Danio rerio: one gene and its partner. The protein of the gene in region 2 purifies or fractionates together with the protein of the main gene of each other region. This does not show direct contact. Links are inferred from orthologs where the notes say so. Each region holds a gene or a part of one and is shown on either strand. Other genes may lie near its edges.

Region 1 (3,570 bases), on a different chromosome or scaffold from region 2:
CGAGTGCGCACCAAAAGCGGACCAAATAAGCGTACCGAGACCTGCTTGAAGAGGTGGTCTCGGTAAGCTTTCAAACGAACCCTGGAGCGTTTAGCTTGTGGTGAGAATATGATTCGTACTAAAACAGGTCCAACCGCAAAAAGTACTGCGCATTTTGGACCAATTCAGCTGCCGTAGGCCTATGTGCTGTGCATTATGGGATATGGAGGAAAAATATTTGTTGACAGCGCTTTACTAACAGAGAGGGAGAGAGGGGAAAACATTACCTGATGGATCGTTGGTAATATTTCCGCAAGATGACCATGTCACAGTTTAGCTAAATTAATTCACGTCTCTTCCTGAAGTGACGAGCGATGCATTAAACACTGTTTTCCAGCCGCGGCCGCGCTTCATTCTCGTAATGTATAGTTTGTCTAAAGCAAGGATACAATCAGCCAGCGCAGTCGTCCCTCCAGAGTAAAAGGTTTTGTTTACCTCCGGGAGTTCACTGGCATTTTCCTGCACGTGAATTCTGACCAATCAATAAGCAGTTTAGGAAATATGTTCAACAACATCTGGCCAATGAGAGATGTGATTTTGTCAGATGAGGGCATTTTAGTTCGTTTCAACTGGTTCGGACTAAAGCCAGCAGTGTGGTGTGAAAACAACCCAAAGACGGCATTTGTATCATTTATTACCCTTGGTCCGGACCAAATGAAGCGAACTACATGTGTGAAAGCACCCTTAGTCTTCTAAGGGTTTGTTATCAAAGTCTCTTTTAAGGTGTATTCTATAATATGTTATTATGCGGTCCTGTCGCCATCTTGTAAATGAAAACGTCAACCGCCTTTAGTCTACTACTCAGTATGGCAGACTATGGCCGCCAACGAGCTGTCTCTTAGAATTTGTAAATATTTTAAAATAGGCTCTATTCTTATAAATAAACAGCATAGTTGCAATCTAAACAAGTACATTCTTGACTAAAAAAAGGCTCAAAAGCACATTATGTTGTTCCATAGATATATACACTAGATATCACAAAGGGATCCTGAGCATGTGTCGATAGCGCCGCCATATTTGTACAGTGCTCCCAGGACAAGTGTCATTCAACCGCACTAGTCAAGACAGTGTTATTACGTGAAAATGCTGGACTTTAGCGCTGTCTACGGGTGTAGTAACAAGCAAACAAAGGAAACAAAGCACAGAGGCAGAACATTACATAGGTAAGATTCAGTTTTTTACGTTTTTGTATGTTATGAACTTTTGTGCTGCACAGGTAACGTTACTGATGATAATACAGTCACTTACTGAATTCACCATAAGGCAAAGTAGCATCAACTCACACTAAATACTCTGCTTATGCTAGTTTTGTTGAATAAAATCAGCAAACAATGCAAAAGAAATATGAAAATGAGATGCTGCGCTGCCAAAAACTTGTATTATTGTCGGCTAGTAAAGGAGTTATCAAAACGGAGATTCATTCACAAACGAATAGCTCCCCTCGTCAGTATGAGAAGTGAAAGCAGTAAAGGAGGTGTGTTTCAGGAAGGGTAGATAGTACATTTCCATAAACACAAACATAAGCTTTTTTTCGGGAATGCCTGTGCGATCAGTTGTCCATCAATGTAGAAAAGTGATGTAAAATATAATTTCGTAATTTATAAAAATAATTTAGCATACTGACCTCCGATAAAACTCCCGATCATAGATATATGTATATATGTGTAATTATCTGGCTCTAGATGGCCACAGTCCTCCAGTCTTACCCTGTACTAAAACGGCGGCTCTATTGACGCATACCTTCCAATAGACAACAACAGGGTAGGCGACATCTAATGTATATATCTATGATGTTGTTCAACAGCTGAAATATTTGTCAAACTGTAGACTGTCCTTTGCTTGTTGCTGACTGGATGTGGGCAGAGTAATACACAAAGGGTAAAGAGGCTGTACGGGTGCTGATATTACTTAAATATCTCACAGCTATCAGTCAATCAGATTTAAGAACCAGACAGAACTGTTGTATGTACAGTTGATGTCAGAATTATTAGTCCCCCTGAATTATTAGCCCCCCTGTTTATTTGTTTCCCCAATTTCTGTTTAATGGAGAGATTTTTTCAACACATTTCTAAACATAATAGTTTTAATAACTCATTTTAAATAAATGAATTATTTTATCTTTGCCATGATGACAGAAAATAATATATTACTAGATCTTTTTCAAGACACTTCTATACAGCTTAAAGTGTCATTTAAAGGCTTAACTAGGTTAATTAGGTTAACTAAGCAGGATAGGGTAATTAGGCAAGTTATTGTATAATGGTTTGTTCTGTAGACTATTGAAAAAAATATAGCTTAAAAGGGGTAATAATTTTGTGTCTTAAATGGTGTTTAAAAAAAATTATAACTGCTTTTATTCTAGCTGAAATACAACAAATAAGACTTTCCCCAGAAGAAAAAATATTACCAGACATACTGTGAAAATTTCCTTTTTCTGTTAAACATCATTATTAACATCATTTCTGTACAACATCATCATTATTAAACAAAATTCAAAGGGGTGCTAATAATTCTGACTTTAACTGTGTGTGTATATATATATATATATATATATATATATATATATATATATATATATATATATATATATATATATATATATATATATATATATATATATATATATATAAACTGAATTATTACGTAATTGTTAAAACATTTAATAATCGTTAAAAAATATTTTAAAATTTTACTCCAATCCTCTGTGCCATATGATCCTTCAGAAATAATGTTAATGTTAACTGGTATATAAGCATATAATAATATAGTAGGTATAATACATAATAAATGTACTGTACTTAGATTATCATTATATAATTTGAAGATGGTGGAACAGCTTTTTTGGTAAAAAAAAAAAAAAAAGTGATATCAATGAGGTATGAGAGATAATAAATAAGAATTATTTTATTTATAGAAAGTTAGATGACAGCATTTGTTTCAAACTGATAAATTTTGTAATACTTAAATGTGTTTACTTCACCATTGATAAATTTAACATCATACCACCTGATTACTAGCATTATTGATTTAAATGATTAATTTCTCACAGCATACTTTTAAACTGGAACCTACATGAGCTCATTTAAATGATGTAATTTAAAATGTATTGAAGTGGTTTTTACCTGAGTTCCTGCTGTTTCTCTGTCTTTATTCAGTTGTCAGAGCTGAATGGAGGAATGGAGGAGGAATTCACTATGGCACGGCTCTTCATCAGTAAGATGAAGTCAGAAGTAAAGTCTCTGGTCAACCGCAGTAAACAGCTAGAGAGCACGCAGAGCGACACCATGCGTAAAATGCAGGCCAACGAGAAAGAGCTGGCGTCCTGTCAGATGCTGATTTCTCAGGTACACACAAGCAGTCAACTGCGCCCCCTAGTGATCAGTATCCAGACACATGGGCGATTCTTCTCTTTGATCTCCTGATGATTTTAAAAAGAAAGAAAAAATGTAACGGCTCTATTTTAAATGGTTTGTAAGTTTCATTTTTTCACAGCTTTTTTTCTCATTTTAAGAATAGTGATATATAGATTTT
Region 2 (3,570 bases):
GTTTAAACAACATTTAAAAAGTATATTTCAGTTTAAAGGCTGGATTCTCATTCCTGCAGCCCCAATGGTATGCATTACAATCCATACTGTAAGAGCTAACCTCTCCAAACAACTGAATAACCTGGTAATATACTCTCTGTTGGTGGTTTACACTGCAGCCGTCAGTGTGACAGATAAGTCTGCAGCAGGTCAATAATGTGAGATATTCATGTGTTTGTCAGGTGCTGGGGAAGGACCACCCTGATGTTGCCAAACAGCTAAATAATCTGGCCTTACTGTGTCAGAACCAAGGCAAGTATGAAGAAGTGGAGTACTACTACCAGAGGGCCCTGGAGATCTATCAGACCAAACTGGGCCCCGATGACCCCAATGTGGCCAAGACCAAAAACAACCTGGTACAAACACCCCTCACACTTCACACCATTTATTTAAAGCAGTGTTTCACAGCCATGTTTCTGAAACCCCTTCAGCAATGCACATTTTGCATGTATTTTTTGCCTGACACAACCTTTTTAGGTAACGAGGCAGTGACCTGTGTGTTTGATTAGGGTTAGCATGCAAAATGGGTAGTGTTTACAGTTTACAGATTTACTCATCTCCTTGTTATCCAAGGTGTTAATATCTTTCTTTATCTTCCATATATACCTCTTTTCCTCCAAGGTAGTTTGAGTATCAAAAGACAAAGAACCAATTTGTAATTAGGCTCCAGCTCTGAACCAGAACTCAAAGCACTGGCTCTAAATCAGGATTAAGTTGTTCTCAACAGCACCAAAGCATTCTTGGCTAGGAATAAGAACAGTTTGCATCTGGGCTGAGGGTAGGATTACCTCAACCAATGAGATGCCCAAACTGTTTGGAGTGTCATATATGAAATGGCAGCAGAACATAATGCTTCTAATCTCTGTCAGTGTCTTTGTGCAATAGCATTAACTCTAAACTAGCAACAAATTCTGGTGGAAAAGGGGAAATCGAGGTCTTCAGCGGAGCTCACAAATTACTACTGCAAATAATAATGGTGGTACTACAAAAAATAATGGTGGTCTTTGCCAAAACTCGCCTCAAAAATTTATTCGAAGGTATGAAATAGATATTTGTGTTACAATAGATGATTCCATAGTCATGTGATTATTAGTCTTGCTAAATGATTTTTTCTTTTCGGCCTAGTCCCTTTATTTCTATGGGGTCTCCAAAGTGGAATAAACCCCCAACTTATCCAGCATATGTTTTACACAGCGGATGCCCTTCCAGCTGCAAGCCATCTCTTAGAAACATCCATACAGACTCATTCACACTCATAGATTACGGACAATTTAGCTTACCCAATTCACCTGATTCACATGTTTTTGGACTTGTGGGGGAAACCGGAGCTCTTGCTAAATCAATGAAAAATTTTCTAATCATAATCCAATGCTATAGGGATTTCCTGGGTTTTTTTCGTCTTGGGTGTTTGAAGTGAGAGCACCCTCTGGTATTTTGAAGGAGCTTTACAATTGATCACACAACCATACCTTCATGACAAAATGTACATAGCCATCGCAGCTTTACTCGGTCGTCTTTGCAATTTCTATTTTTTGATTAATTTCTGAGCACTACCATAATGTATGCAGTGCTGACCCACTGTTTCCAAAGCACACAAACAATTTTAAGCAACAAACTGCAGTTTTAGTTCTGTCCAGTCAAGGCGCCTGGTTTGTCTCTACATGACATATATAAAACACCACCAGTTCCCACTTGAACATAGTTGAAACGCCTTTATACAGTGCATTTGGAGAAAATTCATAAAATGTTTTCCCTAAAAAACATAATTTCTTTACAACCAACGAACAAAAGAAAATAATATCTTGGGTGACAAGGGGGTGAGTAAATTATTTGTAATGTTTTGTTTTGAAAGAGAACTAATCCTCTTTAAGGAATCTATCCATATGGTGTGGTCTGCAGTGTTATTTACTGCAGGTTTTCTGTCATCTCAGCAGATTATAAACATAACGTATGCATCATTCTGCTTTTAGTGTAATGGAAGATGCTTTTAGAGTAACAACTTCTCAAACTGTAACATCTTTTACCAGAGTAAGGGTTTAGGGTTTCATCCAGTTATTTTTAGATATGCCTGTATATACCAGTCACAGATATTTATGAGAAAAATAATACCAGTCTTCAAATTAATACCAGCTGAAATTGCACAAACACTAAATGTCAGATACTTATTTTTAATTACTTTAATTAGATTGTATAGAGTCTATCATCTTTTTCCCTGTGTGTAAAAACTCAGTAAGTCTGGACACTGTTTATTTACTATAAATGCTTAAATAAGTAATTGTTAATGATAATTTTTTCTCTCTATCTAAGGCTTCATGCTATCTGAAACAGGGAAAATTTAAGCAGGCAGAGACTCTATATAAAGAGATCCTCACCCGAGCCCATGAGAGAGAATTTGGTTCTGTTGATGGTATGTATGCCTTTTTCATAACTCTTACATCTTCTGAAAAATGTTTTGCAATGTTCTTTATACTTTGTCCCTGTGAACAAGGGGAATTTATTTATGAGGATATTCAGCCATCCCGCAAACGTACATACACCTTGTGGAGTCCCTTTGAACTGGTTGTGGTTTGCCTGATGTGGGGGAATAGAAGCAGTTCACTGTTTCACTCGTTCACTGTGGTGTTAACTTAATTTACAAAAACAGTAAATGCAGATTGCAGAAATGATTTTTCTTGTTGACAGAACCATGAGACGTCATTATGTTTACAATCTTACCGTTTGTAACTTTTTCATTCATCATTTCCAATAAGTGCTGTATTCTTTACTGGATGCATATTTTCCAACTATGGGCAAGGGTTATAATGAAAATGCACTGCATTAACCATGCGTTAATAAAATATATAGGATAAATATAGGAGGCATGCGTTAGTGTCTTAGTGTCCCACCAGTGACGACATACACATATATATATCGCACTGCAGGAATATTGGACGGCTATCAGCCAATCAGTTTAGAGAACCAGACAGAAGTGTTGTATATATTTATATATACACATGCCTTGTCATCATTTACTCACCCTTTACTTGATCCAAACTTCCAAACTTGTTGTTTGACTTCCTTCTGCTAAACACTAAATTTGGAGAAAGCTAGAAGCTGATAACTGTTGACTTTCAAAGCATTTTTTTTTTACTACTATGGAGGTCTTTGTTTTTAGCTTTTTAGCTTTCTTCAGCTTTTATCTTCTTTAGTGTGTAAACTTTCTGTTATCACTCTGGGGTGATTTTGAGTCTTAATTTGGCAACAACTTTTTTTGTGTTTCAGCAAATGGAATAAATTTGGTGACAACCTTTATTTTGACTCCTATTTTGAAAAAAGGCTTTGAGACTCAACTCAACAATACACCATGGACAAATTTACTACCCATTTGTTATGTTTGCGGATGTTTTTGCTCTAATTACTTCCATTATAATAATTTTTCTTTAATCGCAAAGCCATGACACCATATATATCATGCATTCATAATTGCTGCTTGTTTTCCATGGCCATGGTATCATGGCTTTGCAAACAAATATTTTTGTTATAATGAAGGTC

What was found. The genes of interacting proteins can lie anywhere in the genome.
Region 1: the proteins of klc1a (region 2) and kif5c purify together in Homo sapiens (co-immunoprecipitation; 4 studies listed by BioGRID and IntAct, counting the BioPlex papers as one, with this or other methods). This does not show direct contact. The link is inferred for Danio rerio from reciprocal best matches to the Homo sapiens genes KLC1 and KIF5C.

What each region holds. Positions count from the first base shown.
Region 1 is NC_133184.1:24,807,843-24,811,412, reverse strand, and holds part of kif5c (kinesin heavy chain), read left to right. Parts: intron 1-3,194; coding exon 3,195-3,383; intron 3,384-3,570. UniProt on the Homo sapiens protein: Microtubule-associated force-producing protein that may play a role in organelle transport. Has ATPase activity. Involved in synaptic transmission. Mediates dendritic trafficking of mRNAs.
Region 2 is NC_133188.1:17,851,917-17,855,486, forward strand, and holds part of klc1a (kinesin light chain 1), read left to right. Parts: intron 1-221; coding exon 222-395; intron 396-2,346; coding exon 2,347-2,446; intron 2,447-3,570. UniProt on the Homo sapiens protein: Kinesin is a microtubule-associated force-producing protein that may play a role in organelle transport. The light chain may function in coupling of cargo to the heavy chain or in the modulation of its ATPase activity.